3 linked regions of the Drosophila melanogaster genome follow. The protein of the gene in region 2 purifies or fractionates together with the protein of the main gene of each other region. This does not show direct contact. Each region holds a gene or a part of one and is shown on either strand. Other genes may lie near its edges.

What was found. Proteins that work in one complex are often made in the same cells at the same time.
Region 1: the proteins of Cnb (region 2) and mRpL48 purify together in Drosophila melanogaster (affinity purification with mass spectrometry, with the first as the bait; one large-scale study listed by BioGRID). This does not show direct contact.
Region 3: the proteins of Cnb (region 2) and Cpr47Eg purify together in Drosophila melanogaster (affinity purification with mass spectrometry, with the first as the bait; one large-scale study listed by BioGRID). This does not show direct contact.

Annotation. Positions count from the first base shown.
Region 1 is NT_033779.5:1,708,679-1,712,002, reverse strand, and holds mRpL48 (mitochondrial ribosomal protein L48), read right to left. Parts: upstream 1,542-3,324; 5' UTR 1,478-1,541; coding exon 1,466-1,477; intron 1,405-1,465; coding exon 1,306-1,404; intron 1,153-1,305; coding exon 718-1,152; 3' UTR 538-717; downstream 1-537. Other genes in the region: frtz (fritz), read left to right, coding at 1-75, 136-251; CG17660 (uncharacterized protein), read left to right, coding at 1,688-1,795, 1,900-1,960, 2,040-2,125, 2,192-2,386, 2,671-2,829, 2,899-3,182.
Region 2 is NT_037436.4:1,945,816-1,950,827, reverse strand, and holds Cnb (centrobin), read right to left. Parts: upstream 3,264-5,012; 5' UTR 3,043-3,263; intron 2,982-3,042; 5' UTR 2,969-2,981; coding exon 1,805-2,968; intron 1,747-1,804; coding exon 1,585-1,746; intron 1,523-1,584; coding exon 1,185-1,522; intron 1,121-1,184; coding exon 715-1,120; 3' UTR 566-714; downstream 1-565. Other genes in the region: mv (mauve), read left to right, coding at 1-67, 129-249; mu2 (mutator 2), read left to right, coding at 3,379-3,489, 3,548-3,748, 3,809-4,289, 4,344-5,012.
Region 3 is NT_033778.4:11,277,420-11,280,316, forward strand, and holds Cpr47Eg (cuticular protein 47Eg), read right to left. Parts: upstream 1,027-2,897; 5' UTR 988-1,026; coding exon 976-987; intron 908-975; coding exon 566-907; 3' UTR 538-565; downstream 1-537. Other genes in the region: CG9067 (uncharacterized protein), read right to left, coding at 1,517-1,562, 1,627-1,706, 1,772-1,859, 1,920-2,089, 2,144-2,176; Vhl (von Hippel-Lindau), read left to right, coding at 2,459-2,897. UniProt on the Drosophila melanogaster protein: Component of the larval cuticle.

The sequences.
Region 1 (3,324 bases), on a different chromosome or scaffold from region 2:
AGGAGCTCGCAGACAGCCTGCCGCTCTGTCATCCGAACGACGAGTATCTAAAGGATTTCAACCCCATTACGACCAGTGGGTATTTGTTGAGTTCACCAATAACCTTGCCCCATTGACCGTGTCATTTCTTCGCAGATGTGACTAAGCCGCCCATCCGACGACGCGAGGAAGAACCCAAGAGCAGCAGCAAGGGCGGCAACTCCTCCTCCTCCTCGTCGTCCATCAAGGTGGTCCACTTCGGCGTGGTCTAATAATTCATAGTGCAATTCCCAGGCGTACACCACACAACGGTTAAGCGCTGCGTCTTCCAATCGTTTGTAACTATTGTAGTAGGCTGCTCCTTCTACCCTCTTCCTTTACTCTTAGTCATACATACCTAATTATACATAGCCAATCTAGTCATAAGCTTATACACTCATACACCCATCCTTAACATACAAATATTATCGAGAAACTTATCGACTAATCGACTCGCCACTCTGCAGAGAGCGCGGCAGTCAGTCGCTGTTGAACCAAGCTAAAGGACAGATCAAAAATAAAAGAGACACGTGAAATTGTATTAGAATATTAACTTCTGTAAACGGCGGCTAAACTATTGCCGTCCCAGTTAGTGCAAAGCTTTAAATAGGAAAGTTTTACTCATAGGTTCTCTATACTCTTTACACAGGTTACTCATTAAAGCTAAGCATTAAATGTTTGCCAAATCGGAGGCGCCGCCTACTTCTTCCTGGTGGTGGTGGGTCCGCCCATGCGCTCCAGCTCGTCCTTCAGGTCGAGCAGCTCCTTGTCGGGCACGTAGCGCCGCTCCTCGCAGTCGTCGGTGTACTCCTGCACCTGCAAGCTCACACCCTCGGGCAGCGCCGCCTGGGCCAGGCGCAAGAACTGCGGATAGACTGGCGCATCCACATTGTTCAGCTGCAGGTTGCGCTCGTAGGTGGTCAGCTTGTACTCCGATTCGATGACCGTGGAGTTGGGCCGCAGTCGCTGCACCGTGGTCTTTTGCGGAGGGAGGGCGTAGCAGTCGGAGACGTCCAAGTCCAGGTACTCGGCCAATCCGTGCAGAAACCTCTGGTAGCTCTCCAGCTGCGGGTAGTCGTAGCCCTTGATCTGCACATTCAGGCTCTCGTACTGCGGGAATTTCGGCTTGAGGGACTGCAAACGGAGAACAATGGTTACTGACCACCAAAATAATTGCTCATCTAGTCTGATCTGATTGAAATCTGTCTACAAGATTATGCTACTATGCTCAAAGCAAGTAATATTTAAAAAGGGGTTAAGATCCTTCCTTCTCAGTTGAGGACCCACCTCCAGGTAATCCGGTTCGTAAACACTTCCACTGGTGCTCCTCACGGCTGTTGTGGTTGCTTTGGGCACCTGCAGCGCCAGCCGCACACTTGGCAGTATCTAGCACAGTGGGAAAATGAAATTGTAATAGATAATTTAATAGATATTTTCAGCTATTTACCCTGCGTAGCATTTTGCTGTTTTTAATTCTCCAATTCAGGTTATATCACCAGCTGATGGCGTGCAGCCACACTGTTGCCGGCTCCATGGTCACACTGGCTCAAGCGTCAGATAGGCTCGGCAAGTGTTATCGAAGAACGATAGGCCCGATAAGTTCGGACGAGTAGAAGAGGAAATAATATTTGTATTTACTTAAGCCCATTGTACGCACACACAACTCGAAATGCAGGGATCGGCCACGCTGTTGGTGGTTGCGTTGGCCTTGCTACTTGGCCCGGCGAGCACGGCCGGGAAATCGGATCCGGGCATGGTGGACGTGCTGGTGACCACGGTAAATATGTGCACCACCACCACAGCCCCAAACAAATAGGGGAATTAGAATTAATCCTTTTCCGGCTACGTAACAACTGGTTTGTCCTCTTCTCTCCCACACAGGACTTGCCCAGCATCCGGGAGCAGCGTCCGCTGCTGGCCAACACAAAAATCTACGCGCAGAGTAAGTACAGGCGGCGGAAAACGCGTGACGAATGCCTCCGACTTACCCCTTTCTTCCACACCTGTTTCAATGGTTCCAGTTAAGGGCTGCACTTCCAATGTGGAATCGAACCTGACCATTACGTTCCGGCTGACGGAGCACCCCTGCATCTTTGATGACCGCACGGTGAGTACAACGTTTCCATATGGCTCAGTGACCATTTAATCCCATCAATCTTGTATCCCCAAACAGCTGCAGGCCATCGCCCAGAATGCTACCCTGCAGAAGAACGCCACCATCAATAACGTCATCACCGAGATCACCAGGACATATCCCTGCAACGGACTCATCGTCCTGGCGATAAACAAGGACAAGGTGGTCGAAGGATCAGCGATCCCAACACCGGAGCCAAAGCATCCAATGCTGGAGCACAAGCACCCACTTTCGGTAAATGCGACATATATCAACGATAAGTAGAAGCACAGCAATTACCACGGGCCAGCAAAGCATTTTCGGCTTTTTCCTTATCAGCTTATCGTTTCTCTTTAAACAGGGTATTCCCTAGATAGGTGGGGCATACTGTTTATAGAGCCAGCTTGAAACATTTACAGGCATTTGTGCCATTTTATTGAATGGAATGGTCTACTCGGTATCAGGTTTTCTTATATATGTATAATGAAGCAGGAACACTGAGATAACGCAGTAATTGAACCACTTCCGTTTCCTTATAGCCCACAACGAACCCAATTGCGAGCGTCAAGGAGGATGGCATTTACGAAATCGAAGTTAACATCGCGGCGGGCCCATCCGCGCAGTTCAGTGCCGTGGTGCACATAGAGTTCCTGGGCCCACACGGCTTCATCTCGGCCATAGATTGGCCATTCCTGCCGGTAGGGGTCGAGTGTGTTTCTAAATGACTTTGTTTATACATAATCATGTATATGTTTATTTTCCCACAGTTCTATCTGATCATGTGCATTGTTTACGTGATATTTGGAATTATTTGGCTGTTTGTTTCTTTCGCGCAATGGCGGGATCTTTTGAGAATTCAATTCTGGATCGGTGGCGTCATACTGCTGGGAATGCTAGAGAAGGCCTTCTTCTACGCCGAATACCAAACGCTGACGAACAAGGGTGTTGCAGTTCAGCACGCCGAACTGGTGGCCGAGTTTGTGTCCTGTGCGAAGCGCACGCTGGCCAGGATGCTGGTCATCATCATGAGTCTCGGCTTTGGCATTGTCAAGTGAGTGAGCGCTTTTGATTAGAAACAGAAGGGCCATTAAACTGCCGCCTGCAGCTGTTTATAGTTATAGTTATAGCTTACTCTAAAGCAGTTGCTGCTATTGACCGAACCACTTAAGCGTTAATTTACTCAATCTATTCCA
Region 2 (5,012 bases):
GCTTCTGGTCCAGCTGGAACCTGAGCTTCGTCAGTGAGCTGACCACGGGTACATCGCCCATTCGTAGGTAAGAGAGAAGTGGCTCCATATTCGAATAAAATACAATCTAATCCCTGCTTAACTTGCAGCATTTGCTACTCAACCCATCAGCATTTGGTGGTGCTAACGCGAGAGTCCCATATCCAAGTCTGGGAATCAGAGGGGCTCTATGGAAATGCCCCGAAATTCCCTCAAATCGTCTACAAATAATGTTAATGGGAAAATACTCAATAATTCAACTCAAAGCATATCAATGACAGACACATAAACGATCTAAGAAACAGCTGAATCAAAGAATAAATCCTTTTAAAAGATATAAAATACAACATTCGCTGGCGACAGCCACAAAATTAATATATCACAAGATTCCTAGGCTTAGGTCTCATAGAGCTGTAAAATACACCTTTTGTACCAAAACTTTATATTATTATTACATTTAAAATTTTCACCTTTGTTTTTCCCGTGCTGCATACAAATGCCACGCTGCCTTCAATTGTTGATATTATCAAATAAACAATCATATTTTGCAAAAACTAAACTATTTACTTTCAGAATTCCATAGAAAAATATACAACTACAATGTCCATTGTAGCGGCCATTCAAAGAGGCAGTCATTCTTAAAAAACTACAGGTATTACTAGATAGAATATTACTTGTCGAAAGCATCTCTCGTTGTCAGCACTTCCAAGGTGGAGGCTTACTGTTGCCACTTCCGCTCTTTGGTTTGCTTTGTTTGCTACCCTGTTTGGATGTCATGGCCAAGATCTCGTCGAGCCTGTCGAAATCACTGGGCGACTTGCTGAGCAGCAGTTCAATGTAGGCCTGCAGCTTGTCCATCGGCGAGGGGGGATCCCGTTTGCCCACCACATCCAGGTTATTCTTCTCAGTGTTGTTGCTGCGCTGCGATTTGCTCGATTTGGGCGTTTCTGGATACATGCGTGCATTATTTAGCTCCGGAGATTCACTGGCTTCAGTGTCACTGGATTGGATAATGGAGTTTTGACTAGGAGTGGTGAGGATAGCAAGGGCCTGCTGCCACTGGGCCTCCATTACCCCATGCAGTTTCTCCGCAATATCAGCACTGGAATGGAAAAAAAAACCATTTCTATTTAAACCAGAAAACAAATAAGGCTCTCATATCTTACCGCTTTGTTTTGTAACAGCTGAGCTTGAGATCCATTTCATCGATCTTCTTCGAGGCATTCGCTAGTTGAAGGCGGTACAGCTCCACCTCCTCGTTGTGCTTTTCCTGGATGAGATTCAATTCCTGGTTGTTTTTCTCATTGATCATTTCAAGCTGCTTTACTGCCCGCTCGGCTATGAGTCGTTCACGCTCCCGAGCTTCGTTCTTTAAATGCTCCTCATTCTTGTCCAGTTGGTCCTGGAACTCCTGCATCTTCTTGGCCACAACATTTTCCATTTGCTGTTGGTAGTATTGCTTTAGGGATTTCTGCTGTATATCTAGCTTCTTCTTGAGATTGGTCTGCAAAACAACAATCATTTATTATTGAGTTCTTTTTTTTTTTGTATTTATTTTTAAATAACCTCAGTTTCAGTTAGGTTCGCCAGAGTTTCTTGTAGGGATTTACGATGGCTCTCCAAGGAATCCGCTCTTGCTTTCTGCTTCTGATGATATTCTTGCAGCATTTCCTTTTGATTGGTCAGCGTGTTATTTTCCTTCTCCAGTTCCTCTATCCGCGCTTTTAGCTTATATATAAGAAATGTGGTTAAAGTGGCCGTGGTTGAAATCTTATTTTTAAATTACCTTTTCTTGTTGGTAGTCTACCTTGGCAAACTTATCCCTTAGCTTATTCAGCTCGGCATGTGACAGCTCCTCCGCTCTTTTGCTGCTGTTGAGTTGCATTTCCAGTTGCTCCAGTCTTTCTTCCCATTGCTTGGCGTCTTGCCTGCAATGGTCCAACTCCCTTTCGAGTTTATCATTCTTTTCCTGAAACCTGGTGGCCAAGTTGACCGCCTGCGACAACTCGTTCTGCAGTGCATCAAACCGGCTCTGGGATTCGCCCCTGTCCGCTTCCAGCCGGTGGACAGCGTCCCGCAGGTGCTGAACCTCGTAGTTGAGACTTTGAACTGTTTGCTCTGCCTCGGTGAGAGCAGCATCCTTCGAACGATCCACCTCGATGGCCACTGAGATTCGCTGCTGGTACTCCAAAAGATGCGACTGCAGTGTGTGCACCATTTTCTCCAGATGCTGCCTTCTGAGTTGTTCCTCTTTTAGGGAAGAGCTGCACAGTGGTCGGTTGGGCGAGTTGTTGTCGAGTACAGTTTTGGTCAAGCTGCTCTTGCCCCAGAGCTCGCTCAGACTTATGATCTTGTTCTCATTCAGGCTGCTTCGATCGACCCTGGCTGCTTCGACAGAAACGGCGCCGGAGGATGATGAGGCCAGCCTCATGCTGGGCAGAGACGAGGTTCCCGGATGACCCTCTTTCCCCGCCCGCTCGTTCCTCAGATGATCGTCGCTGCGGTGATGCAGGTGGTGATCGTGCCTCTGCCAACGGTGCGCATTATTGTCGTCTAGGTAGTGGTCGATTTCGAGCAGAATGTTGTCGTCCAGTGGTCGATGGCGGAGGGGCTCAACGGACCCACTCTTCGGCGTGGAGTGCACCATGCCGTGGAGCTCCCTACTTGGCCTTCCAGCGTTCCTTACAGTATTCGTGGATATGGTGGAAATGTCCGAGGGAGGCTCCTCCGCATCCAGTGCGATGTTCTGCAGCCGGGAATTGATGCTATTCAGCTCCGATTTCTTGCTGGGATGTAGGAACTGGTACGCTGCACTTGTGGTCGCCGGGGGAGGGGGCGGGGGCATGGCCAACGCATCTGCCGCCGCGCATGCGCTCATTTTGTCCTCCGCGCAGAAGTTCGGTGGTATCAGGAGCAGCAGATCGGTGTCGTCCGTATCGGTATCACTCATGCCTCATGGTTAACTGTATTAATAGTATGCTTATAGTACAATAATTGTTGTTTCAAAACAAAAGTGAAACTAACCACCGATTGCCATGGTGATGCACAGGGTTGCCAGGTGCACGTGGCAATGCAGGATTATCGAAAACAATGGACTATCGGTATATCACTATTCAGTGTGTCAAAACAAAAACTAAAGCTCGATATTCTAGTCTTCACAAGGCACTATATAATTTTAAAAATAATATACGTTGTTAGTCTTATTTTGCCTTTTGGCATATCTGTTGTAATTAACACTACCGTATATATCGCCTGTTTTTGGCGCCCATTTCAAGTGTGACCGTTCAGTGCGTTTGTTGTTTCCATTTATTGTCTTGTTTTTTTTTTTCGTCCTTCAGTTTTGAAGGAACTGCCGCCAGGATGGCAGATGTAAGCCTGTTTTTTGGCGGTTTGCCGGCCATTCTTCTGAAAGCGGATACCATTTACCGCATTGGGAGGCAGAAGGGCCTGGAAATAAGCATCGCCGATGAGGTAAATTGGCCCTTACTTAAACATTTCCCCTTTAATAACTCCTATCCTCAATGGGCAGTCAATGGAGCTGGCCCACGCCACAGCCTGCATACTGCGCCGAGGTGTGGTGCGCCTGGCTGCCCTGGTGGGCAAGATCTTTGTGAACGACCAGGAGGAGACCGTGGTGGACATCGGCATGGAGAACGCCGTGGCCGGCAAGGTGAAACTCCGCTTTGGCAATGTGGAGGCCAGGCTAGAGTTTGGAGAAGATCACGATGAGGTATGGGCACCAAATACCATTCTTACAGGATGCATAACTTAATGCTTACCCTTCGTTCAGGTCCACGACAGTAGCGGATTCGGGGAATGCCTGAAGAACGGATTAAACAACACAACCTTGGACAGCATGGATGTTCCGGAAACACAGCCTCCATCCGCCAACACATCAGTCAACACAACGGCAGATAGCTTATTTATACCCGAGACCCAAGCGGTGTTATGCGAAAGGCCTTCGACCGGACAAAGAGTGTCGCTGGGCGATGACTTCATGATACCCGAAACGCAGGATATGCTTGCGGATCTTCCACCTGAACCACCAGTGTTTAAACCCCCGGTTATTCCCGTAGTTGATAAGCCAGGTCCGACGATAGACAGCGATGAGGAATCATCTCAGGGCAGCATTATACGCATGTGCACCCAGGATTATAATGAGGATGCCATCGATGACTTCGATACCTCACAGGTACTCTGCGATGTTCTGCTGCCTCTTCCGCCGCCAACAGCACCAATTGAAGGTCTGGAAAATCAGGATACTAAGCGGGGTATGTGCATCCATTGAAACTGATAACTTTCAATAATGTGCGCTTTCTTCTTAGATCAACTGGACACCACCGACATGGAAATGAGTGCCTTGAACTGGTCGGCTAGCAATTCCAAATGCTGTGCTCTGAGTAGCACCAAAGCGGATGATATATTGCCGCGTGGCGATGCCTGCATTACTCCCGATTTGACCGCTCCGTCCGTAGATAGAAATATCTGCACACCCGATCTATTTGACCTGATCATGGGGGGGGATAGGAGGCGCGATGGCTCCAGCAGTCCAGATCCGTTCGTTCGTCCTGCGGACAATACAAATACCGCCACACCGCAGTTTGGCGGAGTTAAACAGCTGGTTGTGGCGACGATTGAGACCCCCACTGCCACTCCTGACACGAATAGTCAGGAAAAGAATCAAGATATGATAGCCACTCAACGATTTCCACGACATAAATTGTTGGAAAGTGACGAGGAAGACAATGGGCAAAACAACCAAGACTTCGTGGCTACTCAGGCGTTTAACTTAGGACGTCCGCAGGCACCACAAGAAAATGAAGCCAATCAAGATCTCATAGCGACACAGGCATTTAACTTGGCACCGCCACAAAAAGTTGATTCACCTAAACCCTCTACAGCTAATGATGCTTCCAACCAAGATTTTATAGAAACTCAGGCATTTAACTTAGGAATCCCACAAGCAAACATGGCTTCACCAGAAAATAATGAGA
Region 3 (2,897 bases), on a different chromosome or scaffold from region 2:
AACATTTGCATCGCAAATTATGACAACAAAGAGCCTGATTATCCCATCGCGATCACGTGACTAGATAGGGATTGCTAAATGTCTTCAAACAGAAAAAAAATAACTATACCCCTTTTCATTATTTTGATATGATCTGCATAGAATAAAGTCTAATATATGGAATTTCTTATTCTGAAATATGCAATGGGAACTAGTCTACTTCTATTTCAAAACCGCAAAACCAGGTCCGGTGTATATGGATATGGTTTAAAAACCGGTAAAAAACGTGATTACGTAACAGTGATCCTAAAGTAACAGCTCCTAAGTGATCCTAAATCGAAAGTGAAAACTGAACGACCCCGAGTTCAGGGGCAGCATGGCGTTTGGGTACAATGTTCATCTGTCAGACCCATACATATTACGTACTAATATAATTCATCCGTCTGGTAGACCCTGACCAACAAGTTTCTGTCCGCTAATACGATGCGTATATATGTTTGTCTACTCGGTTTAAGAAGCGACAGTCCTTTTGGGAAGAAATTAAAAGTCTAGGAAAGTAAAGTTCAACACATTTATTTAACATTATTTATTGACTTGGGGGGTGGGCGGCGATGTACTCCAGAGAACGCTGGATGGCCTCTGGAATTGGTGGTGGGGTGGGCAGAGGAGGGTTGGCAGACACCACCTGGTAACCGTTGGCATCGGCGATATATTGGATGGACACTGGCACATTTTCGGGAGATGTCCACGACTGGCTTCCCTTCACCACCCACTCTTCGCCGTTAAGGTCACCCTTCTGTTGCACATTGACAGAGTTGTCCAGCTCAACAGCGTAAGCAAAGCCGTCAACATTCACTTGCTGCTCGGCACGGAGAACATTGGCATCTTCGTTGGCGAGGGCGACGGCCAACAGGCAGGCGAAAGCAATCTACAAGGATTGTAAATAACAAATCAGCTAGAATCATTAAAGGATCAATTTGCGATAAAGCCACTTACGAAGAACTTCATGTTGATTGTTGAAAGACTTGAGAAGGCTAACTGATATCGAACTGGAACTTCTGCCTGCTTTTTATATGATACTGATGCTCAGCTTACCTCTGCCGGTGGCGCCCAAGTTCAAGTCTAGAGACGCGTAGGATTTGATTTCATTAATTATGCATTAGATAAGACAAAATACATGTTTATGTGTGCCTCGTTATTGCCGTTCAGTTAAAGTTCGCATTGAATCCCATAATAATGCCCGAAACAGACGGAAGACGAGTTTGACGCGGAGACATTAACTAACTATGTGTCAACTAGCAGACACATTGTAAAGATATAATTAATTCTCGAATTATTTTTGTCAAAAATGTCGAATTAGCATAATATTTGGCTACGGCTAGCCAGCCAACGACCGGTTTGCGTATCTCCGGTGCGTATCTCTCTTGAGTCTAGCTTGGAGCGGGCACTTGGCCAGGCCACCTTGACATCCCTCCTAGAAAGACGTATGCATTTGATAAATAATTCGCTTTATTATTCGTTCAGTATTAATCTACAGCTAGGCAGTGCCGCTCATCAGTTTCTGGACAGCGCGATCGAACTTCCTGCAGATATAAAAGTAACGTATTAAGAGCAACTTATATATTCTTTAAGGAGAAGCCCGCTTACTTTGAAGTCAGCGATTCGCCGGGAATGTAAAAGGGATTGCAGATGGCATCGGTGTAGAGCAAGTGGAGATTTCGGAAGATCTGGAAGATACAGAGGGTAGGAGGTATTTGGGGCTTTCATTTAGATAGTTAGATTGGATACCCACTGCTCGAACTTCGTTTTCCCGAAGGGCAACGTTGCTGGAGTCGATGACCACTATGAATTTCACCCGAGTGTTGGTCACAAAGCCGTATCTGTAATGAAATCAACCACCAATCAGTTGCAAATTCACCAGCATAACTACACCCAAGTACATTTTGTGGTTCTCTGTCGAGTAGAGCAGTCCCAGGTACAGCTCCTTGGACTCCGGAGCACCCTTGCCAATCAGGCACTTCTCCTCCACGACGTCTAAGGCGGCGTTAACATGATATTGCAATTCCAGTTCCTGCTCCATATCGGATGTGGTCAGGTACAGGGGGGCGTTCTGTGGGGAATTTGTCATGCAATTAATTGTATTCAAATGAAAAATAAAACTCACATCCTTGCCAATAACTGCTATGCAAAATGCCATATTTTGTTATTTCTTGGTGTTTATTTGTTTACTTTTCGCGAGAGGCGGAGGCAAATCAGCTGATTTACCCCTTATCGATAAGACATTCATCGAAAGTGTGGCCAGCTGCAGTGACACGCAGCAGGAAAAATGTTACCGTAACTGATAAGAAGTGAATTTTATCTATACTTGTTGTTAGCTTGTTGTGATTTGATTCAATCCAATTCCCACGGCTTGTGCAAACGTAAAACAACGAAAATTGATTTGGCAGCCATTGCAGATCGGCTTAGCACCCTGCTGGAGATGGCGCTCCAAATAGCGCAGAACAACCGCGACGGCCAGCAGCTGGTGGGCGCTGATCAGGGAAAGGTGGAGGTGTACGTGCTGTTTGCAAACACCACCTATCGCACCCTGGATCTGTACTGGGTGTGCGAGCGGGAGCGGGAGAACATGTACCTTACCCTCAAGCCCTTCGAGGAGGTGCGGGTGAACACGTTCACCACACACAGCTGGCTGTTCCGGGATTACTACACGGGCGAACGGATGCACGTACGCTCGCAGAGGATCTTTCAGCCGATTCGGGTGCGGGTACCCAAGAGCCAGCAGAGTCCGGATCAGCTGGTTGACGTACGCAGCGAAGTGCTGATCCACTTTCCGATGAGATCGCTGCGCGAAAACTGCCTCTGGCTGGTCGCCCGCTGGCTGATCCGGACGAGCAACGCGCCACGGAGGATTATCCACG